Linked DNA regions of Astyanax mexicanus. The protein of the gene in region 3 interacts with the protein of the main gene of each other region in a pairwise test. Links are inferred from orthologs where the notes say so. Each region holds a gene or a part of one and is shown on either strand. Other genes may lie near its edges. The genes, in order: ranbp1, psmd4a, nupr1b and ptmaa.

The links.
Region 1: the proteins of nupr1b (region 3) and ranbp1 interact in a two-hybrid assay, tested with the Homo sapiens proteins (2 studies listed by BioGRID and IntAct). The link is inferred for Astyanax mexicanus from reciprocal best matches to the Homo sapiens genes NUPR1 and RANBP1.
Region 2: the proteins of nupr1b (region 3) and psmd4a interact in a two-hybrid assay, tested with the Homo sapiens proteins (2 studies listed by BioGRID and IntAct). The link is inferred for Astyanax mexicanus from reciprocal best matches to the Homo sapiens genes NUPR1 and PSMD4.
Region 4: the proteins of nupr1b (region 3) and ptmaa interact in binary tests that used the Homo sapiens proteins (3 or more experiments, as listed by UniProt). The link is inferred for Astyanax mexicanus from reciprocal best matches to the Homo sapiens genes NUPR1 and PTMA.

What each region holds. Positions count from the first base shown.
Region 1 is NC_064429.1:10,915,137-10,923,257, reverse strand, and holds the start of ranbp1 (ran-specific GTPase-activating protein), read right to left. Parts: upstream 3,396-8,121; 5' UTR 3,271-3,395; coding exon 3,256-3,270; intron 1-3,255. UniProt on the Homo sapiens protein: Plays a role in RAN-dependent nucleocytoplasmic transport. Alleviates the TNPO1-dependent inhibition of RAN GTPase activity and mediates the dissociation of RAN from proteins involved in transport into the nucleus.
Region 2 is NC_064410.1:30,609,180-30,617,819, forward strand, and holds the start of psmd4a (26S proteasome non-ATPase regulatory subunit 4a), read right to left. Parts: upstream 3,736-8,640; 5' UTR 3,653-3,735; coding exon 3,627-3,652; intron 581-3,626; coding exon 440-580; intron 195-439; coding exon 80-194; intron 1-79. UniProt on the Homo sapiens protein: Component of the 26S proteasome, a multiprotein complex involved in the ATP-dependent degradation of ubiquitinated proteins.
Region 3 is NC_064426.1:34,461,285-34,469,876, reverse strand, and holds nupr1b (nuclear protein 1b), read left to right. Parts: upstream 1-4,853; 5' UTR 4,854-5,064; coding exon 5,065-5,161; intron 5,162-6,670; coding exon 6,671-6,798; 3' UTR 6,799-6,808; intron 6,809-7,334; 3' UTR 7,335-8,211; downstream 8,212-8,592. UniProt on the Homo sapiens protein: Transcription regulator that converts stress signals into a program of gene expression that empowers cells with resistance to the stress induced by a change in their microenvironment.
Region 4 is NC_064412.1:25,140,452-25,148,405, reverse strand, and holds the start of ptmaa (prothymosin alpha-A), read right to left. Parts: upstream 3,616-7,954; 5' UTR 3,601-3,615; coding exon 3,553-3,600; intron 3,526-3,552; exon of another isoform or gene 3,511-3,525; coding exon of another isoform or gene 3,475-3,510; intron 2,173-3,474; exon of another isoform or gene 2,015-2,172; coding exon of another isoform or gene 1,970-2,014; intron 1-1,969.

The DNA.
Region 1 (8,121 bases), on a different chromosome or scaffold from region 3:
CTCAGTCTGTGGATCTGCTTTTGTCTCTGATTTGCTGCAGCAGACAGGCTCCCGCCTGCTGGTACTGAACCACGAGCCCGGACCACGCCAACGCCCGGCGCACCGGAAGAGTCCGGGTTTAACGGGGGTATCGCCACACCCCACCCACCGCCAGAGACCCCCCACACCCAAAACGTGAGGTAGACGATGATCCATCAAACTACTCAAATCTACTCAACTTTACAAATTTTAATTTTCTGATTCACAGAATGCAATTAATGCTACATTCCATATAAACATGGCTTTTGGAAATTTTAGACGCTCATCTGGTGCTAACCTGGGGCATGAAGAGTGAGATATTTTGGTTATATTCACCAAAATACACTGATAAATGAATGCCAAACCAATTTATCTTTAGATAACTGTTTGAAACATTCTGAAATTGTGCAAATTTATTGTAATGTTTAACTACAATGCTGCCAACTCAGGCGAGGTGAAATTTCTAGCTCCAACATCTGACTTCCAAGGTAAACGGAAGACAACAGATGATATGATACTGTTAGAATGCCAAATGTGACACCTGTCCATCTGGTTTCCACACAAAATAGGTTTCTTAGAACAGCTAAAGGCTGATCTGGTGTTCCAGGTGGCTGCTTTATCCTGGTATTTCAGGTAGTCATTATTTAATTTGCTATGGGAACTTGTTTTATGTTAAGTTAAAGGCTGAAGAACAGGGTGACATTCACAGGTGTGTAGACTTCAGCAGGTGAGGTGGTGATTGAGGCGATGGCTGGCCAACAGCACTTACTAGCACAGTATGAAGCAAAAAGTGGTATGTTGTAAGGTAGTAAACCCACATTTTGGGCCAGATTATAACTGTAAAATAAGCAGAATCTGTATGTTTCAGTACAGTGAACCACAATTTTGTGAATCTCATGGGCGTAGGAAAATAAATGTTTAAATAAAATGTTTCCAGAAGATTATGCAGAATGGTTCCCACTTCTAGACAATAGCTAAAAAACATGTTGCTATCTAGTGTTATATGGTGAAACATATGGTGACTGCTATGGAATACAGGTAAGTTGCCCTGTTATTGTATTTTCTGTGGTTTTGATCACATTGGCAGGTAGATGCCTTGTTCTGACATTTGATGTGGATGCTACTGGATTATAAAGTGGGTTACATTAAAGCAGAGACTGAACAACAGGGTAACATTCACAAAAAGTGCAGTCTTCAGCAGGTGAGGCTGTGAACAGAGCTCCTACGATTAGTTGAAAAAAATCAACAGCATCGACTATAAAAAAATGTGTCGACTCCAAATGTTCAATGACTAATCTTTCATTTGCAGAACTACACAAAGTATCGGAGTTCCAGCCTCAACCTGTGTCTCCAAAAGTGTCCAAACACAACAGATTACACATTTACTCGCTAAATAGCAGTACTTTCCAAAGTCAAAGGATGGTATTTAATTGCCACTTTCACTTGTTTCTAATGTTTTAAGTCTACAGAGGCCGTACCCACAGCACGCAGAGACGGAAGGCTTTGCAGAAATAAGTGCTGATTAATTGAGAATATCCAGAAAAGTAATAGTCGGATTAGTCGACTACCAAAATCATCATTAGTTGGAGCCTTAGTTGTGGACCATGGTCACAGAATACTGAATACTGCAATAGCCATTCACTAATTGGAAAAATAACCAGATTAGTTGACTAGTCTAGTACCAAAATAATCTATAAACTGCAAACTTATAAATGTTTATGTTAAAGCATTTTATTGATTCCCAGATTACAGTCTCAGATGGTTACTAGGGCTTTGCCAAGTGATTGTTATCACGACTTAAACCAGGATGCACAAGCTTCTGCATCCTATTCATTCCATGAAGAAAGTTCCAAACATTTTGCTCATGCCTAATTCTAATGTCTTAAAACCTAGACATCCTAGAATTAAATGAACTAGTTTATCCCATCTTAGACCCAATCAGGCTCACAAGGCCTAGTCTCACACCATTACAATAGACTTTCCCTCTCCTTTAGATCCATTGTAGGTGGTCCAAAACTTTGTCTAAACCCAAGAGAGATCATCACCTATAACAAAGCCAAAGACCAGCAACATTACCCAGCAATTATGGTGATTCACCTGCTTTCACCGCCCTCATTAACCCCACCAGTTAACTCCCAGCACCTTCAGAACCACCCACCACTGTACTGGGCTGAACTGGACACCAGTCATCTGAAGCCCATGTGCTCCTCCAGGAGCATGCTAATGCTAAAAAGCTAATGCTAACTGCTAATGCTAAACAAAACATAGCTATTAGTCTTTTTTACTTTTCATTCAAACTCATCGTTGCATTTAGGTGCACTGCAGGTTAAGATACTGGTTACTTTATTTAGTGAGCAAAACGTCAATCAATGAATCAAAAGCCAGCAAGCTATCCATTAGCATTCATTAGCTTTAGCCAATATGTTAGCTTATTAGGCCTTGCAGTTGTATTAGCTAACTTGAGCTAGCTAATGGTGCTCAACAGGTTTGCTATTTAAGCTTACTATTTCAAGTTGGGCCTTTAATTATTTAATCAATTAAATCAAAATAAATATAAAAAACTTTATAAATTAAAAAAATCGCAAGCTTGAGAGGTTGAAGTTTGGTTTGATGCTCGAATTAGCCGGTCCACCTTAACGTTAACTCCCGCAGCGGTTTCATTCTGGCGCCCAGCATTTAAGGTAGAACGGCTAGTTAGTTACGTTAGCTTAGGCAGCAAGCCGACATATAGTAGTTAGCTTAGTTAGCTAGCTAGCTAGGTTAGTTTATTTATTTAGGTACCTTTACATTAACACAAGGATTTAACACTTTAACCAAATAATGACTGCCAATATATTCAACAATAAAATGAAGCTTTAATTAATAAAACCGATTTATTCATTTATTTACAGATACATTAGCTAGCCGCCGCGGCTAAAGCAGAGCTAACCTGCTCGGAAACAGGCGGTAAACCGAGCTGTAGGAGTGCGGAAAAAGCGCATATTAGTTTTACAGCTTTAAAAATCGTCTAAAACAACAAAACGCCACAAATATCAGGGCATTCCCGCCGCCCGCTAGCCCGGGTTCGTGTCCGGTAGCCGGACTGGCCGCTCGCTGCAGTAAAGCAACAGCCGGCTTTTACTATTCACCATCTCCGCTTCCAGCCCAAAAACAGGCGGATTAAAACCATCCTAACGATTAAAAATCGCAGCAGACGGCCGCAGGACCCCCAGACGTTCCCCAGAACACCGTCCTTACCTTAGGATCTGCCATAGTTTTGTGGATGTTTGCGGATTGTTGAGTTTTAGTGGATGTTTTTCGCTCCGGCCGTGAGGAGGGAAGAGGGAGGGAGAAAATGCTCCTGCTTTCGCGCGCGCACTGAACCGGCGTGTCGTCATCGCCGGCACCGGCGGTGACGTCACTTGTAGATTACGTACATCTCCATTAATCGATTAAATAAACGTAAAACAAATCGATAAAATTTGTACTTTTGATTTTAGCGTAGTAAAGTGAGCGGTAAGAGCACAGAAAGTAACACACAAGCATGACGCACCTTCAGTGACATCATGTAAAAATAATAATAATAATGAATAATGAAAATGCGTGGCCACAACTTATTAAAAAGGCACAAAACCCTATACTATATTTTTTCATTTATAGCTGAAAAAAATGTATAAACCTTTAAAAAAACACTTTTATTGCAGTCATTTCCTCCTTCGTGCTATAGGCGAGGATTATGTTATCATGTACTTTGGTTATCAGAGGCACACTGCTCAGCTCAATCAAATCTCCCTTCTGCCCTGCCTCTAAACCCATACATCACACAGTGCCACTCCCATTTGTTTTTTGCATTTATATAATTTGAGCTGAGGGTGGAGTCAGCTAAAATCAGAGGGTTTAGTAACTCTCTAAGGCTTGGGAACTGAAAAAATAATAGCTCTTGGCCATATAAGTCATCCCCACGACCTAATTATCTTGTTCCCACGCTTTTAATAAGTCATGGAAATGCATTATAAGAATCAAGGTTTGAGGAACTCAGGCCCCTGTACGCCCCATGAGAGGTGAGTGGGTCATATCAGAAGAAGTATAATAATTTAGATAGATAATAGGTGATTCTAGGATCAGAGATCCAAGGGTACAGGGCATTATCACACTAAATTTAAAAAAAGTATCAGACAATAACAGCATAAACATTCGTGTTTAATTGGGAAAGGGGATTTTACTGTTTACTGTTATATTTTCATTATTAAAATTCTGTTTAATGATATACTTTCTAAGATTTAAACGTTTTTAGCTTATCAGAGACCCTCCAGTCCACAGGTAAAGTTGCTTAAAGGTGATGCTCAAATAGAAGTAAATCTTTTATACATCAGAGTAAAAGAACACAGCATGGAGTTCTTATGTATAAAAATACTGTTTGTAACTGTGTCTTTGTCCATTTGATACACCATTATGTAACAAGTATTATTTGTTAGCTAGCTAGATTAGCTTTACAGCTAACACAATAATCCACAATGACTGTGAATAAACAACAGGTTTAAAGTATATAGTCTCCTCCAGTTATTTTAAACAGTTTTCTCTAGTAAATTTTAATGATTTCACTCTAATATTGTAATCACCCTAATAAATTATCATCGTTATAATCCCACATCTAAACTGACTGATGGATAAAATCATTAGTATGAGAATAAATGCATGGATGGATACTTTCATGCACATAAAGGTCATAAACTACCCCTCACCCACTGCATGCCTGTGAGGGTTATAAGGGTTATATAACTCTCAGAGAGAGATCTCTGAAGCCTGAAGAACATAAAGGACATCATTTTCAGATCACCCTTATTCCTTTTTTCTCTCTCTCTGAGATCCAACAGGGGGCGCCACGTGCACACAGAAAAGCCCCAGTATAACCAGTATTAGAACTGGCCTGTGGGGTGCAGGCAGGAGGAATGCTGGGAGTACAGGGCCTGTCTCTGTTTATATCTGTCCTTTCTTTAACAGAGGGCAGAAAAGGAGATATATCATACTCCCACCAGTATAACTAAACACACACACTGTAGTCCAGGTCGAACTGTGTGTATATAGCTGTGGAGGACGTCCAGCCCAGCTCGGAGGATGATGATAACAGAGGGTCAGCTGAGCCGTACAGGAAATGATGTGTCCCTGCTGAAAATAAAAACATCCAGGCTGGTTTAAGCTGGTAATCATGGTTAAACTGGTTGACCAGTTTAGATTTAGACCAGTGCAGAATATAGCTGTGGGGATACCACCACTGCATGCCAGTGAGCTACCATGGGGGAGACTGGGATTCAATTCCAAATCTAAAATAAATAAAAATCCAAAAATCAGTGTCTCAGAAAAAAAAAAAACATTGGTACTTTTGGTAGTGTGAGCAACGTGCAACTCCTGCTGGAAAATGAAATCTGCATCTCCATAAAAGTTGTCAGTAGCAGAGGAAAGCTGTAAGATATTCTGGGAAAACAAAACTGCACTGACTTTAGACTTGATAATAAAACACAGTGGATCAACACCAGCAGATGACAGACATGACTCTCCAAACCATCACTGATTGGTGGAAACTTCACACTAGGCCTCGAGCACTTTGGACTGTGTGTCTCTCCACTCTTCCTCCAGACTCTGATCCCTTGATTTCCTTTAAATGAAATGTAAAATTTACTGATGATCAGTGATGGTTTGGAGAGACGTGTCATCTGCTGATGTTGATCCACTGTGTTTTATTATCAAGTCTAAAGTCAGTGCAGTTTTGTTTTCCCACAAAATCTTACAGCACTTCATGCTTCTTCCCTCTGCTGAGAAAAACTTTTCTGGAGATGCGGATTTCATTTTCCAGCAGGAAAAAGTACCAATTAGTCTTATATAATATTCTAATTTCCTGAGACTCTGAGTTTTGGGTTTCCATTGGCTGTAAACAATAATCACTTACAATAAAATAAATAAACGCTTAAAATAAATCACTCTGTGTGTAATACATCTATATAATAATACATAATTTTACAAACTAATCAGTGTGTGTTTAGTATAGGGAGATTCCGCCTATGTAGGAGATGAGGACTAAAAGGGTGTAGTAAAGTTTGAACTGAAGTATGAAACCGGACAAAACTAACTCAACTAAATACATCGCAGAATGTATCACAATATATCAAACACACAATATCCCTAATTGTGAAAAAGAAGAACAATGTTACATTATGTAAATTGAAACACCAATAACACAGCAATAGGCCTCAGACTGCACTCGCAAGTCACAGAGTTTATTTTATTATTTTATTTTTAAATATACATATACTTCTTTTTATTTTAAATACCCCCAAACCCCCCCAAAACCTCCCTCCCTCCCTCCCCACACTCCTTCTCCTCCTCTTTGCACTTGTTTATAACCCCTCCATCCCTCTATAAGAGAAATCACACACCCTCCTAATTGTGCAGCATATTGCTTTTTCTTTTTTTTCTTCTTTTTCTTTTGTTGTTTTACTTTGTTAAGACATCCGCGAACATAAATAAAAAAAAATACTACCTCCTAACTCCTGTAGGGGGAGCCAACGCTACGAAACTCAGAGGTTTTCGTAAGCTAACCAGTTTAGCGAAAATTGGATTCAGATTGGTAACAGCTTGGAATCGAAAGGTGCTCAATTAGTGTAGACATTAATCTGAAGTTTGTTCTTGTATTTTTGCAGTAGAATCTTGGGCTATATCAATGTTAAAATGTAACCAAATAATAAAGACTAAATCATATATGGCTGTGTATATGGTGTTCAGACTGCATGTAAATGGGATTTGTTCCTTAAATCAGATTTGATGATGTATAATGTTCTGATTTGCTGTTGAGTGATGGGATCGGACTTGCCTGTCTTGACATCGCAAACATATCTGCAGGGCATCTAACCATACGATAATATTATGATATTGATTATTCAGCAATCCTAGATACTCAACTCAGAGGATAATACTGTATGGTTCCTCACAGCATCTGCGCTACTAAAGATCCACGTATCAATAATTATCGCATTATCTTTATTTCATCCCACCACTCTGTATCTGAATGTGCTTCTGTTGTTTCAAGGTATCCTCACACTTTTCTTACTCTGAATTTAGTGAAGTCGCTGTTTGTCGCATTGTGAATAATTGACATAAATGATTCGCTAAAATCTGATTTGAGTGTCTACACTGGTCAAATGTGGTTTCTGTTTGTCCACATTATCAAATATCAATCTAGACATCAATATAGCTATCGATTTTTAATCAATGTATGACAAGAATTGGGATTTAAATTGTGATTTAGACTTGGGCAGAACAAGTTATAAATTTGGATATTAGATAAAAATCTACACATGCAGTTAGCATTATGCTAATAGGTGGGGGATAACCTTCCACTGCTAGTTAGCTATAATAGCTTTTTAAGCTCCAGTGTAAAGCTATTACCAAATATATATATAAATCTATATTTTAAGGCTAATTGAACTGTGCAAATTTTCCTCTATTTTTTTTCTTTTTTTCAGCCCCAGTCAGAAACAGGTGAGCTGCTCCTGGACTTCTTCTGAATCCACTAAATTGTTGAAAATGTAATTTTTTTTGTCTGTTTTAACTGGAAATCTCTTGTTTGAAAGTGTGTGTTGTTGTTGCAGTGCACTGTGCTCCTGATTAGCACTTAAACCACGGTTTTGTAGCGTTTTATAGCTCCCGAGTCGACCTGTTTATAACAGAATTATTAAATTACTTTAAAATATCAGTGCCCTCCCCTCTGCTTACACACACTGTTTACTACCCTCCTCCACCCCCCCTCTCTCTGCTGTATCGGCTCGATATAGCGACGCTCCAGTGGAGGAATCTTATCTCTTTCTCAATCTTCCGGCTGCTTTCCTTCTTTCTGGAACGTTCTTTGTCCTTTAGGCTTAAAACTGATGGTGTTCCTTCTCTAAACTGCTCTGTAAACAAACTGGCCAGCTAATATAATTAGCATAACAGGTGATTAGCCTATGCTAACCTGGTCTAGAGCAGGGGTTCTTAACCTGGGGGTTGCAACTTCCAAGGGGACTCTATGAAGGATCAGATTCAGACTTTTCATTGAATTAGACCATTTTACGCTAAATAAAAATAAAAAAATTG
Region 2 (8,640 bases), on a different chromosome or scaffold from region 3:
AGCCATAAGTGAGTCATTAGGAGCATCAGCCAATGGAATGGACACCGTTTGGTGTAGGTCACTTAAGAATCTTACTTACGTGGGCAACTCTAATGCCAGTACAAAAGCTGATCCTGCCACGGGGCTGAACAGCGTGCAGTTTGGAGAGGATGCGCCCCGTGTCGGGCGTTAAAGTAGTCAGGACCTCACAGTTACTGCAACCAAACAACAAATACCAGATCAGTAAAGAACAACCAGCAGAAACAAAACACAGCACGGCTAAATAAGATTAAAAAAAGCTAAATGGTGCCACATATATAGAGCCAGAGTTGTATAAATATTGGTAATATCTGTAATACACTCAGAAACAATCCTGTGATATGCTGTAATGTAACTTATCACAATTATGGATACATGTAGTCATATTGACCCACCCTACTAATGTTCAAAAAGCACTTACTTTGCCATTGTGATGAGTCCCACGTTATTTTCCGGATTGCTGCGGGTCTTTGAGTGACAAACGATATTAACAGCATCCTGCTGTGCTTGTAGTCGGGTGGGCAGAAAATCTCCATTTCTCATGTACTCACTGTTGTCCACACTGTAAAATAAACAATAAATGGAGGAGTATAGTGAATGTATGCATTTACACTTAGAGATACTTTGGCCAAACTGAAACATGTATCAGTCTCTTGTAAATCATACAGTGCCTGTAAAATGATCAAGAATGATTAAGAACTTTATACATTTACAAAAACATAGTAATTTGTTAGTCAAAGTAAATTAAAATATTTAAATAACTGACTACATAAACTAGGGCTGTGTATGGGCAAGAACTTGGCAATATAATATGCATCACAATGCAGGGGTTATGATTTCCATATACAGAGTAAGCCTTGTATTTCAGAAACAATATATGGCAGCTTTCAAGATGGCAGCCATGTTCTCCCCATTACTGGGGTTTTCCGATGTAATTTTTCCTTTTGTTTCTGAAATCAAAGGCCCTGCAACTGCAATGTACTGTGACACTGTAAGAAATGCAATATACTGTGATTGTTCAAACTGAATTTTTATCCAAAAAGAACAGAGAGATCTGAAGAAAATGTACAACACTGTTGTTTAATATTCAGGGTCAAACACAACACTAAATAAACTAAAGTCTGACACCAATCTTTACATATAAAATCATTTTTAAAAACCCATACCATGTTTTTTTTTATTATTCTGTATTGTAATACAAAACCCTGATACAATACCACATTACCATTTGCTTACATCCCTAACAAATATTCAACTCCTTCAAAGTGACTGGCCAAATCTGACAGAAAGCCAGGCAATCGGTGCTAGTAATCACGCAGTCAGTAAAAGAGAGATCAGCTGACTGCAGTAAATAGTGTACACTCAAGTGATTTTAGTATAAAGACTCCAGGTTTGGAAGGTCCCTACTTAGTTAGTTTTCCAGGCTATAATTACACCATTAAAAAAAAAAAAAAAAAAAAAAAAAAACATCCATCACAAGATGGATATGAAACAAAGCCAACACCTAGCTAAATCCATCAATAAAAAGTACAAAAAAATAGTAAAGAAGGTAAAAGTAAATTAATCCCTTGGAAGTTTTCCTAAACTGTGTTTTCCTAAACATTCTACAGCATCTCAGTCATGGCCATTATTAAGTAAACATTGACGAAAATTGAAGGGTTTTTTTCTTATTTTAAAAGTTAAAATTGAAAAAAAAGAGGGCTCTCAGCTACGTCACGATATCCTAAATAATGCTATAATAGTCTCACGGTAGCACTTGTTCATGTCAAACGTGGAAGTGAAGTTACAATTTCATGTATTTAAAAAGTTTGATGTATTGTATGCATACTTATTATGTATTAAAATTAATATCCTAAATGGTGCTATAACTGTCGCAAAAGCAGGGTTTTTAGCACTTCTTTGTCATAAACACAGAAACAAAATGTATATGGCACTGGCACATGTTAACCATGAAAGGAGAGTGGTAATTTATTGGTGTTAGAGTGTATATGTATACCTACTAATTATGGAGTAGATTTATTTCAGCATAACTACCTTCAGAGCAATATATTACAAAATTTAAATCTCCTGATTATTTGTATGTATTTTTTTTTAACATTTCAGACAATATGTCAAAAAGACATAATTCAAGAGTACATAGAAATAGTAAGAGGAAGAATAATTTGTGTTGCTTGTCAAATATATAGCATCTCGTTCTTGGCCATCATTAGGTTTAACGTTACTTATAAACAAATAGATGACTTTGTTTTTTAAAAAAGTTAAGGTTGGAAAAAGGGGGTACTGAGTCAACTCATCACATCCCATGCGGTGCTATTATAATCTAAAAAGCAGGGATTCTCCAAATCCAGTGCCCAATCTGGAGATTTCCTGGCCAAAACAAACCCACATCATCAGGTAATTAACAGACAATTAGATCCAGGTGAGTTAATCTCGGAAACGGTGGAACTGTTCTAAACAAAGGCTCCACATAACTGGACTAGAAGGACCCTACTCTAAAGCATAAAGACATTCCTGTTTAAAGTATAAAAAAAACAATATATTTGTGCTTAAATGGGGAAAAAAACTACAACAGCTAAGAGGTGGCTTTAAAAAAAAATGTGACAAATGCTAACAAGCTAGCTAAATGCTTACGCTAGCATGGGATGACATGCAATGTGAATTCTAAACGTTAGATGACTTTTCTATTTCCTAACAATAGAACTAACCCTGATTTAAATACTAAACTGCCTAACTAGATCAAATATATTGCTGCGTGATCACAGAGAAATCACAGTCCTAAAACTAGACCTCTTAACTAACGTTAACTAACTAACTAACTAACTTAATTAACACCAGGCTTGTGCCACATCAGCTGAGTCAGGTTAGTCATCCATGAATACATCCAACTACAGAGTTAACATAGGTTATAATAACTGTAAAATGTAATGGAGATAATGGAGCAAAGAGTTTAACAGCAAAAATAAGCTCTACAGTAGCTAGTTAGCTAGCTTACAAACAAATAAAGTGGGCTAACTTAACAGCTAGCATTAGCTTAGCCATTATAACCTCTTAGCTAAACTTGGCATTAAGGTAGCTGCTCTCTTTACTGACTCTACTGTACTTGTACTGTATTTAATCCCTGATTCTGTGTCTAGAGCTTTCAGGAGATCAGATTAATGAACCGATCGCTCCGGCCGGGCTGAGGATGATCTTTAGAGCCGCTACGGGAGCAGCGTTAGGTCCGCTAATAGCCGGTTAGCATGACCTAGCCCCGTTTAAACAGCCCGTGTTCAGGGAGACTCGGCGGTTCACAGTCGCGGGTTTCAGCCGCTCTCAGCGCGGGTCCTCCCCGCGGCTCGGTGTTTCTATCTCGCCTGGTGTGCGTGTTTGTGAGCGGTGGACTAAAAGCTCGGATCGCTAGGCTAGGCTCTCTCTCAGCCCGACCGGGTAATAATGACTCAGGAGAATCTCCCCGGAGCTTCACCGCTCCTCTAACCGCGCTCTCACACACACCCCCCGCTACCACAGCCCCGCACCGCGCTCAGCCCGCGCCCCTACACTACAGCACACCGCCGCGCTGCCCTCACAACACACTAAAAACAGTCAAATATCCACTGTTTATTTCTTACCAGACCATAGTACTTTCCAGCACCATCTTGGAAAATTTGTACTCCTCAACAACGCCGCTGCTGATTGGTTGGCTCTCCGGTATTCATATCGCCGTACGTGATTGGCTACTGCCAGCACGGCTCCGTGTTCTTCAGTTCCTCAGTCTCGCCGCCGGCTGGTTCAGATCCTGTAGTGCAGCCCAGCTCCTTTATTTATATAAACACCCCGAATTTAACAAGATCATTTAATGTAGATTTGTTAAAGAAGTAATAGTTTTCATTACCTTTTCCAGTTGTCTAGTTTTCTAGTTCATTTCTCCCCTGTCTGAAATCAGATAAATAAAATAACCTTTACTCGAGTTTACAATTTCCTCTCGGAATCTGATGCAGATCAAAATCCAACCTATTTTTGTTAAACAAAAATGGGAAATTAAAAGATTAAGTGTCAAAGATTTTTTTCTATTGTCCCTGAAATTTAGATCTTAAGTGGCAGCAATGCCACTTTTTTTCTTCACTATACTAAATTAAGGTAAATATAATGAACATCTACACCCATTTTTTTAGCCTAACCAGTTAGAACATTGAACTGATAAAGGTTACATAAGTCAATAAGAAATGAGATTTCTTGATTTTTTTATATTATTTCTGCCCCTCATCCAATCCAATGAAACAGTAGAAATACTTAGGAAGATATTACTTTTTCATTTTTTTCTGATTGGGAGGAGCAGAAATTATAAATATCTACAGATAACAACCCATTCCTTCTTCACTAAATCAAATGAAAAGAAAATCAAGGTGTGTTCACTGGTTAGCATCAGGTTTCGCTACAGGTAGTCACTGTGCTTTTTGGTGACATGGTCTGTACCACATCCAATATGGACCAAAGGAAGTGAAGGAAAGAGTTGTATCAGGAGATCAGAAAGAAAATTATAGACAAGCATCTTAAAGGTAAAGGTTATCAGACTATCTGCAAGCAGCATGGGTGTGGTAGTGGGAGGAAAAAAGGGGACCTGGCTACCCAGGGCCCGAGTAGGGAGAGGGGCCCATGAAAATAAAGATTTTTTTTTTCGCTCATGTTACTTGTGTACTGTCATAGATAGGACGTGGCTACATAAGGAAAATTAATGACAAATAAAAGAAACGGATAATACGGATGGTAACAAAAGAACCCAAAAAAATGTTAAAAGAGATTAAAGGTGAATTTTAAGCTCAAGGAACATCAGTGCCAGATCGCACCATCCGTCATTGTTTGAGCCAGTGGACTTAATGGGAGACGACCAAGGAGAACACCATTGTTAAAAACAAAACATAAAAAGGCCAGACTGGAATTTGCCAAATGACATGTTGACAATCCACAATGGGAGAATGTTCTTTGGACAGATAAGATAAAAAAAAAAAAAAATTGCCAAGGCATATCCACTTTGTTTCTGTCCAGGACTGTTTTGTAAGTTTATATATTTTTAAATAAATAATAAATAAAGCATGGTTGAAAAGCAATGTCTGACTTTTTTGTTTGTTCATTTTTATAGCATTTTTATTTATGACTTTTGTCAAGTTATGTCTGTGACTATTGTGGGTCTTTCTCTTTTTATCCAAGCGATACCAACAATTGTCTGTGTGTATTTATGTATTTTTATTTATTTATTTGAATTTAGCCTTAAATATTAGATAATGAAACTTAAGTTACTCTGAGCAGTCCAAATAAGAAAACAACAAAAAACTAGATCCTGCTGGGAAAAAAAAAAACAGCTCAAACCAACTTTTACTGTATGCACCGGATTTCAGCATAACTGCAGATTTGTCTGCTAAAACCAGTCAAGAATGATAATTTTTCACTATTGGAACTTAATGTTCTATGTAGAGCTTTACAATGCTAAAAGAAGAAATGTGAGCAAGAAAAGATTTTCAGGAGCCAGTTTATTTAAAAAAATCAATTTAACTGTAATAGGCTGATCAGCTGATGATCACAAGTTTAAGATCATAGCTTAAAAAAAAAACTAAAAAAAAAACCTTAAAACAGAAATATTCTATTGAAGGAATCTTTTTTTCTCTGCCACCAAAAGCTCTTGGCCGTGTGAATACTTGAATATTAAATGCAGTTGCCAATAAATTGGCTGCTCAGAAGTTTTTGCCTCTTGCATGCATTTCTTCTTTTAGTGCAAAATGCAAATTTTTGCTATTATTAAACTGTTTTTAAGATTTTGATCAGAAATATATGTAAATAATTACAGGTGGGGTCTGATTAGGCACTGGTCCTGCCTCAAGAGGGCGTAAAAGTGCTTCTAGTGTCCAACCCGTTTACCCGTCATCTGCCGACTAGTCAAGCCATCCAGTCATGGCATAGATATATTACATTTTGAGTTCTTATGGATTATAACACACCTACTCGCACTTTGGCCTGTATCTGCAAAACAGCAAATAATATGTCTATCATTCTCACCTGACACCACACGAGTGCCCATGTTAACATCATGTTTAAAGCAGGTATGTGGTGCAAACTGTACGTTTTGAGGGATTTAACACACACAGTTTACAATGTGGTTGGGACATAATATCTGATGAAAAGCTCTGTTTAATTGACAGAATTAGTCAATTAAAACATTCCCTTTATAACTCGTGAAGATCTCTGTACCACCTGTTCCATTTTTAACTGAACAATTTCACACAGCTTGACACAATGCATCTCACAGATGTTCCTTCTGAGCAAGAGCTATGAATATAAAAACAGCCATCTTTCATCTAAACACAGGTAAACTAACATCAAATAGAAAGGACAGAAAGGATTTTCAGAGTATTTGATTTGCATATGGATATTAATTGAAATGCAGGGAACCCCCAACATGTTGGAAAGATTCAAGTAGTAATTCACGTATGTATTAAATACTAATATGCTACTAATATAGTTTAAATATCTATAGTTATTTAAACTTTTTGACTTTATGTGTGAACCTAATGTTTCTAGTTTCTAGACATCCTAAAGCTTAGGCATCACTTAACCTTCCAACAAGATTATGATCCCAAACATACCTCAACTTCACTAAGTCTTAGTCTCAGAAGAAGTCCTGGAAGAGCCATATAAAGCCTTTGTTGAAGGGCAGCATCATGCAAACCCAATAATGCCCATAAGAAAAGGATCATGATTCCTCAGGAACGCTGCCAGAATCTGGTATCTGTCTATGCATCTTGCTTGCAAAAGGTCATAAGTGTAAAAGTACTAAAGATAAACGTCTTATAGGGGTTCAATAATTTTGAGACATTAAAAGTTGCATTGTGTTTCAAAATTGCAGAAAACACTTGCTATTAGTTGTGCTATTTAGTTTTTTCTGGTTTGATTAATTGCAAACAACTGAAAATATTGCAGCAATATTGCAGATAAATTCTATTGTGTTTAACGGGGGTTTGATCATTTCGATTGAATCTGTTTTTCAGAAACACTTTCATGCTTGAATCTCCCTTGCCATCACTTCCCACAATGCTATTTTAAATTTAGATCATGTCTGTGAGAAAGCCACTCAAGAAGAACAAACACATTTTTATGTAGATTAAACTATATGCAAATTACTTTTCTTAATGAAATCATGCATACAATTATTTGCCCATGAAGGGATGCACATGGTCAGCAATATATAGGCTGTGGAATTCAAACATGTATATTTAAATAAATACAAATATATAAACAAAAACAATGAGTTCTCTATTAACAACAATTATCACACAAGACCACAGAAAACAGAATGCATTTTTTTCTTTTTTTAATGAATTCAGAATACAGTATGAAAATCTGTCAGCACAAAAAGAGACAGCTGAAAATATACAAAAAGTAACCCATTTAATACATCTTCTGTAATAGAAAGCGAATAAAAATCTGCATAGTCTCATTCAAAGGTAGAAAAACAAGGAATAATTATAAGAACTTAGTATTTAAAATATTTCTTAGGAGTGACAAACATGGGGTCAACTCAGCCCTCCCAGCACAGCAATTTTTGAGTGCATTAGTATACTGAATTTTTTATATACTTGCACTAAACCATAAAAAAAAAATTACTAAAACCCCTTTAAAACTCACTTTGTTGATCGCCACTCTTACAGTCCCATGGTTTCTGACGTTGCCCATTCAGTTTTTGCAAAAAAACAAAAAAAACAAAAAAAAAAAAACAAAGATCAGCAATATATGATATATGATATATATATATATATATATATATATATATATATATATATATATATATATATATATATATAGCATAACCCCCAGGCATAAGATAATACACATTTTGAAATGTAAAACAGAGAAATAAATTACATTTTTAAAAATAAATAGTTATTTGTACAGGCTTAGGCCTTAACTGTCTTCATGGTAGTTGACAACTCATCAAATAAATTTTACCATAGAGATATTTATGGTAATAATTTGATCTTTGCTTCTAATGTCCCTCAAGAAAACAGTTTACTGAAAATGTTTAAGTACACAACATCCTGCTTACTCCTAATGTACTCAATCAAGACAGATTTTTTTTCATTTACACAGTGGCTATTAAGGCTAATATAGCTAACTAGCAATAGAAGACCATGTAACCCAAAACCAATAAAGCATTCATATTAAAGCTACAGTTAAGAGGAAACTGTAGCTTTTAGTTAGAAGTTATCAGAGAATAATTTCTTAACTGAGTGAACCTGTATTAAAACATTTAGTAGAAAAGGCAAATATAAGGCAACTAGGGAAGCAGAACAATCTTGGAAAGGGAGTCATTTCAGTAGGATATTGCTTTAAAAATGGGCATCAGAGGAATGCTTAGATTTGACAGATTATTAAATTGTATTTATTGTACTTTGCTGAAACATCTGTATTCCACTCACTTGTCTGTTTTTAATCTTATACAAATTCTATACTCTGTAATGCTAATCCAGGTAGGTACCACTTTCTACATTTCAATAGTCAGTGCATCCCCGATATATAAAACTGTTGCTATAGAAAGTTGCTAAAGACACAAAGAGTGTCCAATCATATTAAAAGGCCCGTGCAGGGTTTCATTCA
Region 3 (8,592 bases):
GAGGTAGTGATTATATGAAAAAATATTTTTCAAATTACATCTGGTAAAGCAGATTTCTTTAAAATATGTGGGAAAATCATGGTGCATGGTATATAATGGATGCATGATATAAATTTAAATACAAATTATTCTTATGCTAGTTAGCCAACATGAAGCATATAGAGCAGACTTTCTCTACTGAGACTGGTCTGGGTACAACATATATATTTTTGTTCACTTGCAAAATAATTAGTTACCAATAATGCACATGCAGGCACTGTTTTTGTGAAACCTGCATATGTGAAGCTCTTCCAAAGGAACAGGTTACAAGGTTTGTTTCTATGATAAAACATACAAGGTCATATTTCTGCTAAACTAGGCCACTTCCATTTGCAGTATCACTCTGAGTGATATTTGTGTTTGTCCTCTGAACACATAGAAAGCGTTTGCACTTTGAATGCAAATGTCTGACTTGGCCTGTGAGGAAACTGAAAGAGAAATGTGCATGAAAAACAGCACGTATGGATTAGTGTTGCCAAAAAATAAAACACAACACAGAACAAAACAAAAGCAGGGCTATTTTTTATATTTATGTAAGCAGTAGATTACACTTCAGTTATCTTTTAGATCAGATGTTGAGAAAGGCCAAAGTCTAAATGGAAAGATAATATCCAGTTAATTTTCAACAGGGTCACTTCAAAACATGGTAATTCCATAAAGACAGATTTCATAGCTAAAAAGATCTTTGTTAGCTGAGGATTTTTCTGCTCAGCTAAAAATTCAAATATTTACTGTACCAAACGCTCCTCTCTCACATGACACTATTAAATGTTCAAACTGTTCTGTGCACGAGGAACGGGTGGGGCAGTGCTCTTGCAGGATGAGTAATACATATATTAGTGTAAAACTGCATTTTGTTCCTTATATGTGGTTGGGAGAGTAAGTTACACAGGACAGGCCACTTCTGCTGACCTTTGCATAAAGATCATCTTCATACAGGTGTTGCAGCACAGAAGAACAGTGCATCACCACTCTGCTTTAGAGTCTGCTTAATCATACTGAAGATTTTTTTCAGCTAAATTTGGAAGCATTGGAGAAAGCAAAACACTGCATTCAAGCAAAAAATGTAAAACATGGTGGTGGTAGCATTATGGTTTGGAGCTGTTTTGCTGCATCTGGGCCAGGAAAGTTTGCCATCATTGAAGAAACAATAAATTCAGAAAAGGACATCTGTCTGTGAGCTGAATCTCAAGAGAATGTGGGTTATGCAGCAGGACAACTACCCTTAGCGCACAAGTCATTTTGCCTAAGAATAGATAAATAAGCATAAAATTCATGTTTTGGAATGGTCAAGTCAATGTTCCAATCTTAATTCAATAGAAATGTTGTGGGCTGTGCTGAAGCAGGCAGGTATTGCTGCACAAGTAAGTCACACCTTGTACTTAAAACAAAGGTTCACATACTTTTATCACTCAAATATATTTAATATCGGGTCATTTTGCCCACTAAATAAATGACCAGGTCTAATATGAATTTGAATTCATGAATCTACTTTCAGTGTGAAAATCTGGTGACATTATTGCTCAAACATTTACAGTAATTTAGAAAATTCTAAAGGGTTCACAAACTTTCAAGCTTTATTATGAACAGACAGACTATTGTCAGGTGAGGGCTATTTAGCTAAGATAATAATCCAAATATTTGCTGAACCAAACACTCCTCCTCTCACATGACACCAGTTACAGGTTAAGCCAAAACTGTAGGATATTCATAAGGGAAAGCACAAGACATTATGTATCAAAATGAGTAGTGTACTATACTATAGCACTGTAAAAAATCCCAACAAAAGTTTTAGTGATCATTTGATTAAGTTTATTAAGAAAAACCCTTTGAAAAAACAAAAATCTGGGCTGAGTCAGCAAGAAAATACATACACTGCAAAAAAAGGAAATCTTAGCGTGTTATGGTTAAATCTATGTAAAAAAATATCTGACATAAATTTTTTATGAATTTTATAAGAATATTCAACTTTTTTCTAACATGTTTTAAGCAGTTTATTTTACTGAAGGTGTCTTATTGCGTTGGCAGATATATTTCCTTGTTTAAACATAATTTCTTAGCAAAAACTAAATTTTCTGAAGTGTCTGCAAAGTTATCTGCCAATACAATAGGAAACTTTGTTAGATTAAATCACTTAAAACAAGTACAAGGATGCCATTCTTACTTAAATACTCTCAGAATTAGAAAAAAAGATATGTAGACTACATTTAAGAGGATTTTACTTAGGATAAAATGTTTTTGCTGTGTAAAAAAATGTGGTACCGGGTTCTTTTCGCTGTTGTGCAAGATACGGATTTTTACAGTGTATATTAGAGAACAAAAATGTATGAAGAATGAGTACAGACTTGTTACTCTTTGTTCTTATCCGTGGTTTGAAGACTTTTGTTTAATGTTGCAAAAAAAGTTGAACTGTACTTCAAAGCCTGTTTGCAGTCAGCAGTGTGTGTGTGTGTGTTTGTCTGTACGTGACTGCCGATAAGAAGTACGGCCTGTCCGTCTGACACATTTTCTATCTTTGTTTGTGAATGAAAACACAAATCTTGCCAGCGCATTTCTGCCTCTGCCACACATGCGCATTAGACACACACACTCACACACTCACACTGTATCCATAAACGCTGAGGTCATGTATCCAAGGCACTGTGGTGTGGAATTTCCCAGACCTCAGCTCTAAACATTCCCTCAGACTGTACTTCTCACCATCCCTGCGGCCAGACCCAAACACAGGACACTTACAGGAATCCACGTCACCCAGTAGAAGAAGCAGACAAAACACAAAACAGTGGAGATAAACTGACTGTGAGGGATTCTGATTATCAAAAACTAAAACACTAAAAGTCAAAACTGTGGCATCTCTAGCTCTGCTCACACATGCCTGCCCAGTGTAAACACACAGGAACGGATACGGTGCAAAATGACCGGTCAAATGCAGTAGAGATAACTTAGAACACATCGTACTTTATCAAGGTTACAAAGAAAATCACATGTTTAGTTTAATTTGAACCAGAAAAGGCCTAAACATAACAGAAATGGTATAATATTTTGACTAAATATTGTTAAATCAGAGCAGTCTTAGGCCTTCTAAAAAACGGATATGGAAAACTGTACAATCACCTTGCAGCACAATAACACTCATCAAGCAAAGATTTAGGAATGCAACATCAACCACCTGGAATATCAGAGCAATCACCTATTAAGACCACAGCAATAACCTGGTAGCCACTTTAAAATACCATAGCAACAACCTAGGATACCATGGTAACCTCTTAAAAACACCAATGCAAATTTACACAATAGCAACCACTTAGCAACATCACAGCAACCAGACAGGAAATCAGGACAACAGCCCAGCAACATTATTAACATTATAGCAAATCGAACAACATCATAAAGACATATAGCAACACCATAGGAACCACCTACAGCAGCTGCCACCTGTCAAAATTACCATAGTAACCTTTTAAAAAGACTCTGATGAGCTAAATAGCCTTAAGTGCACCACATGAACAGGTAAGAAGGGTTCTCAGGTAAACATAGCTATTTATATTTCAGAAGCTCTCTAATGCGTGAAGTAAACAAACAGGTTTATGCTAGGTTAGTGGGAAACACACTGCTGCAGGACGTGTGAAGTGTGAGTAAATGAACAGGTGTGGTTCAGAGATATAAACATTAACAACTGTCATCTAAACTACACCTGATATGTGTCTGCTGGTGGAGAGCCAAAAACAAGACAAGAAAGGGAAAAAACACAGAACTAAACAGACTGGATTCCTCCAAAGTACACAGGGTTACACAGAATTATGTTATAACAGAATACAGCAAAAATATAAAACGTACTGAACCATAGAACAGAATACAGTAGATTTATAAAAGAAAAAAGGTCAGACAACACTAGAATAATTACGATATGACAGATCACATTATAATAACACAGAGCTTACTTTTAGTCTCAAAGCAATTTTATACTGCTTCTGTGATTCGGCTCCTGAGAGACAATCCTCTGATTTTCTCAATTTAACCAAAATCATGTCTCATGTGTGGCTTATCCCTTTTTTTCTCAATCATAGTAATCTTACCTTAGTCTCAGCTGAATAAGGTTCATAGAAGATAAGTATAAGATCTCCTAATATAATTTTTGATATTCAGCAGTTTTTTTTTTTTTATAAAAAAAGGTTTCAGAAATTATTCTGAGATTTCTTCTCAGACAGATAAGAAAAGAAAGAAGTGTACTATTAGTATAATTATTTTAAACTGAAATTACGAAAGTATGTTAGTTTGCTAAATGTATAACTACAGTAAACATATACTTCAAGTGTACAAGTAGTAAAGTTTTATTTTGATCACATTAGTAAACTAGTTTATGTACTCAAAGTCTACTACTTGTACACCCAAAGAACACTTAAAATGTTACTTTTATATACTAAAATTGAGCGAATTTAGTACAAAGAAGTATTGAAATAGTACATATACAAGTGTACTACAAGTACATTGATCCTAATATACTTACTAAATAATATTTACTTGTGAAATATATTCAACTTTACTTACTTAAGTTTTCTTAATAAAATAAACTGTATGTATACTTTTTTTTGTAATTGTAGACTAGCTATATTTCTTTAGAAATGCTATTTATATACAGTCACTGTACTGGAATAATGTTGAACTGAGCAAAACAAAACAAGGTCATCTGACATGATGATTTATTTGGCTGTAAAAGGGCAAGGCCCTTCAGATAAACATTAACTACAGTCTGATGCAACTTCAGGCCTAAAGCAGGGAAGAAAAGGAGAGGGGCGGAGCCACTAAACTATATAAAGAGCCAAAGAGGGAGGATGTAAACACAGCATCTTGGAGAAAACAGAGGAATAGATTGGTTTTAGTTTGTTTTCTGAGCTAACTGAACAGTTTTTCCTCAGCTTTATCATATATTGAGATATAGAAAGTGTACGCAATTCCTCATAGCCTAGTTTAACATCAGTTAAAGTGAGTTTTGTTGCCTAATTTAGCAGAAAGAAGAATATAAAGATGAGTCACGTCGACGTGAAAAACCTGAAGCCCACCAGCTTTGAGGATCGCTACTACGATGAATACGAGTATTATAATCTCACAGACCGATACACAGGTGAGTTATACAAGTTTACAGCGGACCAACATGACTTTAAACCTATTTTTAATCTTCTCTTTTTTTTTTTAAGAAAACTTGTAGATAGTCTTCCTGTGTTTTCCTAATAATTGTTCCTATTGTTATTTTTCTATTTATTCCTGTAGTATTTATCTGTAGCCTCGAGTCTCCTTGATATGTTAGTCGTAGTTAGCTACTGTAGCTGTGGTATTTGGCTTTAGTGTGGTGGAGTAGTGTACTGTAATTTAGTGGGGTTTTTTTTCCTCCACCTTCATTCCTGTAGTCCTCCATCTGCTCAACACATTTTCCTGCTAACCTTCTGCTTACTTGGCTTGAGTCACTCCTCAGCAGAGTTCTACTGGACAACATGTGGAGATGTTTAGCTGTACACTCAAAAGAAAGTCTTAACAATCTCAAATCAGTTAATCTTATTTTTCCTCTAATGTTTGTCTATGCAAGTGTAATTATTTTTCTCATTTTATGATTAATGTCTGTCATTTTTATCCCTTATTTTAAATCATTTGGACTGAAAAATAAGTACAAAAAGTCTGATGCTTGTTTTTAGAATGTAAGCCCATCTTTTTTTTTAGTCTTATTTTTTTTACTAATTTTGTGGTTTTGATATTGCTTATTTTAAAAACTCTTACTTCACAGAGTAAAATTTGCTTATCTCAAGATATAATGACATATAGGTTTCGATTTATATACTGTCTCGCTTTTGCCAAAGTATTTTTAAATTTTTTTAATTTTTATTTTTTGCAGTGTAGGTCTGTCACTAACTATATATTATAATCGACCAATATATTGTCCAATAAATAACTAATAGAAAATATTACTGACATTTTAAGACAAATGTTTCCCGTTGATATACCTGGCCAACAATGAACTTTATTTATTTTATTTTTTTTTACAAAATTGATCAGCCAATCTAATTGGAATTGAAATAAAACACAAACAATATTAAAGACAGCTAAATGATGTCATTTCCATATATTGAATGATAATTAAATAACGATTTTATTGAAAAGCCTAGTTAACTGGATAATAGGAAATAGTGCTGATTTCTGGTATAAAATGCATTTGAAATAATTAAATTATAAAGGCCCCAGGTCCCTACAAATATTTCTTTTAAAGCAAGAAATAGCTTTGAACATGAACTAAATGTGGCCATTAGCCACAAGTAGAAGGATTTAGCTCCTGAGACTTTGAGGTGCTGAGTAGCCTCAAGTGCACCACATGAGCATGTATTTCAAAGAAACTGTTTTGTTCGAGCCTTATGTTCTTTGCTGTGTTATCCCCCAATTGTTAAATACTTTGTTTGCAAAAATAATCCCCAAATGTACCATTTTTTATAAAGTAAGAACTGACTTTGGCTTATTAAAATTATTGTGTATATTGAAAGCCCCTCAGGACTGCACCTGGAAAGTGTGTTCTAAATGATGCAGTGAGCTGTTTTGTTTTGGTGCATGTGTGTGATTGAGCACGTGCTTTGCTGCTTGTGTCCTGCAGAGTGCACTAGCCGCAAAGGCAGAACGAAGAAGGAGGCAAGCAGCAACACAAACCGCCCCAACCCTGGAGGCCATGAGCGCAAGATTGTGGAAAAGCTTCAGAACACTGAGAAGAAAGCCAAAGAGTGAAACCTAGCAGGTAAATCAGATAAAACAGTTTTTTTCCCCTTTTAACCACAAAGGGATTGGAGTTGGCCAGTTTACTGTCCAAGAACATCCCTCATTACTTCTGTTAAGGCGAAACTGTGAAATGATATCACTAACGAATTGCCCTCAGTTTCAGAAGTCTAGATAATATTGTTGACTCTGAGATTGACAGATTGTTTTGCTTTGAAATTCCACCATTTGGTCAAACCCATTGGATTTAAACCTGAACCATTGAGAAAACAACTGAATACCTGGTCCAGAAGAGCTGGATGCAGTTTTTACATCTGACACTGCATATGACTTTTTTTGATGATTTGTTTGATGGTGTTTTTTTTATTTTTTTATTTATTTATTTATTTTTTTTTAGAATCCTTCACCAGTTCAGCAGTGACTTCTTCTTTTTGAGCAATAGTTCTGGGATTTTATTTGTCCATTTCTGTGTTTTTAAAAGTTTTTTATATATTGCAATTGTGCCCAACATGCTTTGTTAAGCATTCCAAATGTTTCTTCTCTTTTAGAAAGAATCGGACGGCTTGATCTGGCAACCGACCTTGGGCGCCTTGGCAACGGATATCAAAGGGCAGAAGATACGAGGGACTTCCAAAAGTCCACTCGGCTGTGATGAGATGACTGCTGGCGTGGGAGACCGATGATTCAGTTTGCACTGGCCAGTGTTTGGTTCAGGGTTCACAAGGTTTTTGTGGGCACGTGCAGTCTGCTGGGCCATGCACCTGTTCTGGTGCCTGAGTGAACCCTGGAGAACTGGGTGTGCATGTGCTGTGGTGGTTAATGTGGTGCTTTTATGACCGTCTTTGTTATACATCTTTTTTACCTACTTTTGACTCTCCAGTGGGCTTATAGTCCTTTCTTTTAACATATTAAAATGTAAGTCTTATTTCTTACACCACCCCCCACAAAGTCCTGTTCATTTCATAATAAATTGGAATATAATGTACAAACCTATTGTCTGTTATGTGTATGGATTTGCACACTGAGAAGGAAAGGCTTGAAAGTAATTTGGTACAAGTGTGTACAAGCAGTTTTGGATGTCCCACTACAGGGGGGGTATGAAAGCAACAAGTTGTGACTGGTTAACAGGCTCTATCCATTATACTTTTTAAATGGAGATAAAGCTACTCACTCTAATATTCAGCTATTAACACCCCCAACAGCAAGCACAAGTTGTGCCTCTTCAACAATTATATTAAAACTGAACTGGCCTGGGCTTGACTGTTTCATTATAAATGCATTTTCTTTTCTCTTTTTTTCTCCTTTTAAAAAGGGGGGGGGGGGGGGGGAATTGGTTAAATGGTTTTAAAGCCCCACTTGACAGTTTGCTTCATTGTTACCAGATTGATTGTCCCATAGCACTTATTAAACATTAATTTAAAACTATACTGTGTCTCCATTTGAGTTTTCATTGTAGTTCCCATAATGACTGATGGAGGGCAGCAGTCTAACTATTAAAAAAAACTGGGGCAGTTATAAGCCACTTTATGGAAATATAAATACAAAATGTTTCAGGTGGTTGATAGAATAATGGTATTAGAAATGTGAATTTGAATGTACATGTATACACATCTGAAACAGAATTTTAAGATTGGTTTAAGGTTTTTTTTTTTTTTACAATTTAGGTAAAAGCGACTGTTTCAAATTCTTAATATTATTGATGTATTTACAAATTCAAAATGGCATTCTGGGATCAAAAAGGTAAAGTACAGCATGCAGCATCAGAGCAATCACACCAGAATTCACACACCAAATAAAATGAAATAA
Region 4 (7,954 bases), on a different chromosome or scaffold from region 3:
TATATAGATTTTTATTTCATACCCAATGGACTTTACGTGCACAGATAACTGATAACTGGACCATAATCTCTACACACTTATAACTTCTTTATAATGTATTAATTGTGTGTTTTATTTGTAAAGATATATAATATTTGTCGAAACTGACGAAAAACTATTTTCACCTTCAGAACAGGCCCGTGTCATCGCCTAGAATATCTTCTGATGTGGCAAATCGCTCGTATTAATACATTTAGGTCGTAATCCTTAGTCTTTAAGCCGTTTAGCGCTACAGCACGCCAGCAGCAGCAGCTACGCCTCCTTCCTTACACCATCACCATTCAGCGCTAGCGCTTTGTAGACTCGGCTCGGATGAATTATCTAGGCTAGGATATACACACACACGACAACGATGTCTTGTGGAGGTGGCGGTGAGGGTGTGTGTGCGCGCGCGTGTTAATAAATAAATAAATAAAAGTCCGCCGTGGACAGGCTATTAAATGAGTGGAGCAGCAGCAGCATGGCCGGTATATACGGACAGCTGAAACGGAAACGACAGGCTACGATCTTCACACTCAAGTCTGATCAAGAGCGGAGTAGTACAAAAACAAACAACAAAAAAAAACAGCACAACAAAAGACAAATAGCCTAATCAAACAGCGGCAGTATCCTTCTCTCAACGACTCCCGAGGCAAACTTTACCAACAGCAGGAGAAAGGAGCGGAGGAGGAGGAAGAATGCACTTCTCTCTCACTACAGAGCAAATTATATAGTCTAATGTCCCACCTTCCCACCAAGTGTACAGACGGAAAGCACCACAGAATGAGAGTTGGAGTCCCGAGGCACGAGGATGTATAGGCTGAACACTAGTGGGTACGTGAGGCTGTCGTGCATTTGTATAGTGTATTCCTGATGAACCATCTAAACCAGCTAACGCTAGCTAAATAAAATCCTCCGGACAGGTAACGGTAGCGCAGACCAAGCCCCCCACACCCCCCCCCCCCCCCCCAACCAGTCAGTCCAACTTAAATAAGACCCCCGCTCGTCCTTATGGTCACAGTCAGGTCGCTTTCTTAAACTTTTTATTATTATTCCCCCCCTAAGTTCTGAATGAAAACATGCGTAACGTTTAGATGCATCAAACTCAAATCCCCGCCAAACAGCCCAGCCGGGTAAATCCGAGGCAGCGAGGCAGGTCGTGTCTGCGACAAACGAGCAGCTGAACGGGGATAAATAAAGAAATAATGAGATGCGTGGAGTAAAAGCGTCCTCAGCTACAACAACCAAAGAAAACGTGTCAAAACAAGCCCCCTCTCCTCCGTGGCCTCGTTCAGGGAGAACAGAGCGGACAGAGCAGACAGAGAGCCGCGCGGCGCGGAAGACAACTTGTCACATTTCAGAACAAGAGGCAGCAAATCTCCGCGTCCCTCAAACCCCGGACGAGGCGCTGCCGCCGCCGCTGCCGGTGATAAACCCCCGCGCTGACGGGCTCAAACCCGACCCTCCTCCCTTCAAACCAGAAGTTGGCGGTGTTTTGATATTAGAATCTGTAGCTCAAAGGCACTTTTTTCAAAAAGAGGGAACCGAAACGCCTTTATAACAAAGAAGAACCCGCGCGGACTACAACAGTGTAACTGAGGAGACAACGCTAATCTTAGCTCTGCCTGTAAAAAAAAAAACCCAACTTCAGAGCGCAGGTTAGTTAAGGCTAGCTAACATTTCCCTCATCCAGAAAAGTCTTCACTCAAAACCTTGTTCGTCCACGTCCACGACAGCAAATATACGCACAATTAAACGAATAATAGTGTCCCTCGCCACATACATCACAGCACCGTTAGCTACATTACTACTAATATGTCCACACGTTTAAAAAAAGTGTTTTTTTTTATTATTCTAAAACCCCGCACATCTAAACCTATCAACCCATTGTACGCTAAAGTCCGTTCATCATAAAGCTACAGTAAGTCATCAATTCCAGCAATTCTCTTACCTTGGCGGAAATTTCCGAGCTGGTGTCGACTTTTGTGTCAGCCATTTCTGCCTAAAATGTGTATAAATGGGATGCGGTCACGCAGAAAAAAAAATGAATGTAAAGAGAAGGAGGAGGGGGGAAGAAAAAGAATCCCAAAAAAATCGCTTATAATAAAGATAAAGGGTGAGTTAGTGCCTGTGGCAAACTCCTCCGACAGCGGAGCCCCATTATATAGAATAGTGGGCGGGGCCTGCAGGCGGGCGCTGCGCGCTGATTGGTCGGAGGGAGGAAAAATTCGTAGGCTGTGTCTAATTCGCCAGACTGGAACAATGGACAGTATTTCTATACCGAGGGAACCCGCTTGCAAAACCAACCTTTCTGACTCATTTATGTGACTGGTCCTCTTCTGATGGATGACTTATGCGAGCCCCCCACCTCAAAACGCGGTAGATTTAGACTATACTGCTTTTTTTGTTGTTGTAAAATAGAAAAGGTTTCTGGAGATGTCTGTGGACTGTGCTCACAAAACGCGTCAGTCGAGACCATCCTCCTTCTACACCATCCGCGTATAGCTAGAGAGATGGCCAGCAGGCAGACAGACACACACTGTTAAAGCCACCACACATGTAATTAGATCTTTATGCTTATCCTGTTTGGCTTAACAGCGTGTAACTACAACCTTATTGGGTTGTATTTCGCTTCTCTCTCTATCTCTCTCTCTCTTGGTGTTATTACATAGGAACTATATGTGTTATGAGCGAACATGTTTAGTAGGAATCAGGGGATCAAAATTATCAATCTCAGTTAACCTACTATTCACTGTAACTTCACTTGTTTATGTCAAAATGGATGTATTTTTTAAATGGTCCCTGGTAGTGGTAATGCTTAAAAGTTCATTATTTTAAGCAATGAACTGAACAAGGTCACATAAGCAAAGATCAAAGGATAATATTGCGGTACTTAGCTAGCAGAGCTCCTTCACGGGTTTGAGTGACAGTTATCGGCCCCTCCTCTTTACCAAAGTGTCTCTTTGCTGAAAAATATTATTGTCTGTGAAGTGGAGGGAAGCGAAGGCTGCGCTACTGCTCCGCTGAATGTTTGGAGCTGTAGTCATATTAGGTACGCTGATCTCACAACAGCTCTTGTCGCCTGTCTTGTGTTTGTAAGCTGAATAATGGGTTGGACTGAGCTGATCCCAGATCAGTGGAAAAAAAGGCAGAGTGAACAGTGGCTCGTTTAAGACCAGCGGCGAGCAATACTGATAGTTAGCTCGGGTATAGCGGATTATTTTTGCAACTATCGATTTTAGCCACGTGATTTTGTTGTTGTTGTCAAAGTGTTTCAAACAATTACACATAAAATCAAGTTAAAGTCCGTTTAAGTCTTTTACCGTGTTGGTTTCGCGCTACTGTTGCAACAACAAACATGGCGGACTGCGAATCGTGACGGAAAATAAAAAGCACAATAACGAGCCGACTACCCGGTTTAATCGCGTGTTTAGAGATGTACAGACATCGACTTACAGCGTTAAGTGTGAACGAGGAATCACTGCAACACATAAACGATTAAAGAAATAAAACACGGAAATCAATGAACCTCACCAAAATGGCCGAATTAGAAAGCCGTATGGCGTCTTGAAGTCTCCCCATTGGACGAGGGAAGGGAGCGAACGTGTACTTGACGCTTTGCGAGCGCTGATTGGGCCGTCCTGACGTCAATCAAATAAAAATGCTCGCTAACGGCTTTGTGGAAAGCACGGATTGTAAATTCATGTGCGGATCCGGATCTTTAGTGAACTTCAGCTCGTACTGGCGCTCCGACACAGTCCTGCTGCTAATGAATGGATCCTTTTCCTTCCCCAGATTAATTTTTTTTTCCCGACAAAAGCGTTTAAAATAGAATAATCGGATATAAACAGGCTGTAGCTTCTTGCCTTAATATCCCGAATCCTATTAACATTAAACTGACGACCACAGACTCCTTAAACTACAGGCTTATTATTCTCTACACTTGTTGTTTAGGATGTGAGATTGTATTGTGTAACAACGAGCCTATATGACAATAAGCTTTATTATGAAAATTATCTTATGTTATTAGAGTGATAAGTGAACATATGCTGTCAGATTAAGGTTTTAAACTATTTTTTCTTAAAATATAGTATATTGTTATACCATATATGCCAGCATAACATCTTGCATGTTCATATTTTTATAAATAGTTGGTATAGAAATTGTAAATATATATTGAAACATTGGAAAAAATTAAGAGAGTATGTTTTATTCTATAAACTATGGACAAAATTTTTTCCCAAATTCCAAATAAAAATATTGTCATTTAGAGAATTTATTTTCAGAAAATGAGAAATGGCTGAAATAACAAAAAAGTTATGTGCTACTGCACATTGCTTATTTTAAAAGACTCACAGCTACTGGTTACTGGCATTGGGAATGCTGGCACTGTACTGCACATTATTTGTAAATATTTGTAAAATATAGCTTCTTTGCACTCTCCACTGGACTAATTATGTCATATATTGCATATTTGCATTCCTCCAACTGGACTGATCTCACATTTATCATGTATTTGTATATAATTTGTATTAAAACTTTGTATATTTGTTTTATTTTATATTGTATTAATAGGGAGTGGTAACTTAATTTTAGGAATAAACAGCCTTCTTAACTTTGAATGAAAGTTAATGTAACAATTTTGCAGCTTTTCTATTGGTTCATTGTTCAAACGGTTTTCCCACAATTTGTCAGAAAGTTGGTTGTTTCAAAGAGTGTACAGATATAGAAAGAAAATGACAAGATACAAGGTTAAGCCCAGAGAGCTGGAGGCACTATACTACTTGACATATTGCATGTAGTAATTCTGCCAAATGAGAATCAAAAACCTCCTATGAGAAGCTCTTTGAAATGAAACTGCTTAGTTTGTCTGTAAACCTGCCACAGCCCCCTATGCAACTTTTACTTTCAAGCTTCACATTTACTTTTTTTTAGTTACTTTTATACTTTCCTTTTTCAATGGAACACTTTCACTTTCATGACTTGGTAAAGGTTGTTTGTTCAGGCCTTAGGGAGGAGATAAGAATTGTCTGTAAAAAATATAAAGGTAATGTTAGGCAATATTAGTTACGATCACTTTAGAATTAATAAAATTATGTTTTCAAAAAGCATCTTGAGTACAAAAACGGTTTAGATTGTGATAAGAAGTGCAGCAGAAACCTGATGTCAATGAAAATGACATCTGTCGTCACAGGAAGCAAAGATTTGTCTCTTTTCCTATTTGATTTTGGAAACTTTAAAATTAAATACTAAAATGAAATGCTAACACTTTTCAAATAGAAAGTAAAACAAACATTGTCAACACAGGAATATAATCAAATCAAACTGTAAAAAAAATAATTATTATTAAATATACCTAAATACTTTCATCAGAATTAAAGTGATTATCATTTGTAGATAATTAGGTCAGTTCAAATTCATTAGGTTTACTTACCTGTTGTTAAGTTCAGTTCAAGACAGTTCAAGACTGTCTTTGTTGGCCTCTAGGGGTTATAATTCTTAGCAGGCTTAAAGATTGGTATTAACTGCAGATTGTTTTGTGACAGAATGTTAATCAACCTTCAGCTCTTCTTTATGTTTGAAAGTAATTTCGGGCAAAAACTATTTTTCTTCAGATTTGTACATTTGCCTGTTTCAGTTCTCCCCCTGGTGGAAAAAGAGCTGCATTTTAAAAAGAACACTAAAGAAGAAAGTGGATCATGAGAGTTTATGCTTGTGTAAGTGATTTATTAATACATATAAACAGGCCTTGGTAAATAATCAGAACATTACCCAGATTATATTTTGGTTAAGTCATCTGCACATAGCAATATAGTATTGTAAGTTTTATTATCTAAAAATAGTTTAAATGAATAATAACATGATTTATGAAAACATATATTTGAACTTCCTAAACCTTAAAGGTCTGTATAAGAAATTCCAAATAAAAATATTGTTATTTAGAGCAATGAGAAATAGCTGAAATAACAAAAAAGATACAGAGCTTTCAGACCTCAAATAATGCAAAGAAAACAAGTTCATATTCATGTTCTCCCCCACCAGTCTTACACACTGCTTTTGGATAATTTTATGCCACTCCTGGTGCAAAGATTCAAGCAGTTGGTCAACATTGATGTGGACTCTGATCGGACTTCCAGGTATGAAAACAGCCTGAAACAAACTGCATGTGTAATTTAATTGAAATAGAAAGTTTGGCAAATAGTTGTGTAAAAGTGAATTCTAACTGTTTTTGTTGCATAAAAATGTATTAAAGTGTATTAACTGGACCTCAAGAGGAAAAAACTTATAAACAATAAAAATGTAGAATCTGAGATTTTGACCTCTTTTAAAGAAGGCCTATACTAAACCCTATAAACATGTACTTACATGGGCAACCACTTCAACTCTTCACTCTTTACATCAATGTTAACTTCCATATTATTTTTGTCAAAGCTATTAATCATGATTTCTAAATAACAGAATAATAAGTCTGTGTTTAAAAGGGGCTTTAAAAAAAAAATGTAGTAAATATACTGTATATATGGGAAAAAGTGTGATTAAGATAGAAACAAGCTCATTGGCTGCCCCCTACTGAAATAAAAAAGAAGAAGCACACTCACTCCACCGCCCTTCACCCCCCCTCCACCCTTTTTTTTACAACAGGGGATTTGGCTTTTAAAGACAGACCATGAGAGGGCAGTATCTTGAATCTCTGATTCATGCTTTAAGGACTATTTTCTTGTCAGCTACAATAATAGACTGGCTGGAAATCCCCCTGCTTTGCCGCCGTCTGGTACGGTTTGTCACGTGATCTTAACCAGACCCCAGGGGCCCACAGCTCTGTTGGCCCTCATCTCCCTGGCTGGCCCTGCCCCTAAACTCTGAGACAGACTCATTACTGCTGAGCACCCCAAACGCCCTCAGGCGAGGAACGTGGAGACCCTGCGTTTATTAAAATCCTGTCTGTTCAGAGAAAACACAGCGATTCCACTTCCACTTTCTGAGACAGGAGCCAGTGTGTTTATGCTTCTTCCTTATCGTCCCATGAGATTATTACTTATCTGCCTCCAGAGCAGTGTAGTGAGCAGATGGGGGAGGGAATCACAACAAGGGAATTATTTAAAAATAAGGGTTTAGTGTACAGCAAAACATCTAGAGTAAAGAGTAATGCCATAAAAGAAGAACCATTTTTATACCCTCAGAGATACTTTTAATCAATGGTTCTTAAAGGAACCAACTTTTTTTACCAGACATGGACATTTTTCTTAAAGTCATAATCGTAAACATGATTTGCTGTAACTTTATGATATTTGAATACATAAATCTATCACAATATTTCTTCAGTGAATTAGAACAAAACACATATATCATTTAGCATATTACACTGCACAAAAACATAAAAATATATTTTTTAAATATTTTTGGTCAGTGTTTTTTTAGTAGCAGTCATAACTCAGATAAGCGTCTGTATTAATAGATAAGTAATCACAATACAGACAATAGAGCAAAATTGGCCATGCTCTCTCTCTCTCTTTGGATGTGCAGATAGCTGATGTATCCAAGCTGGGGGTATGGCACTTTCCTCTAAGCACTTTGTCTGCTTAGTGATGCTTCAGATCGAAAAAGTGGTGGGTGGCTGATAAGAGGAGTTTTAGTGAGTGGGTGGGTTAACTGGCTCAGCTAAATTGGGGTACAGTTGGATAAAATAGTGGTTATTTTATGGCATTACTTTATGGCAAAAAAAGAAAACCCTTTATGGCTTTACACGCTGTTTGCTCAATTGTCCCATCTTAATAAAACGTGTTCAACCAGTTAATATGTTGATATAATAGATATCATATATAAGTCAAACCATATTAGATGGTGAAAATGTTTCATGCACAGTTGCAGAAGCTCCTCTCCTCTTAAGTGATTTTGTGGGTCTTGAACCTACACAATATTTCCCATATCCAGATAT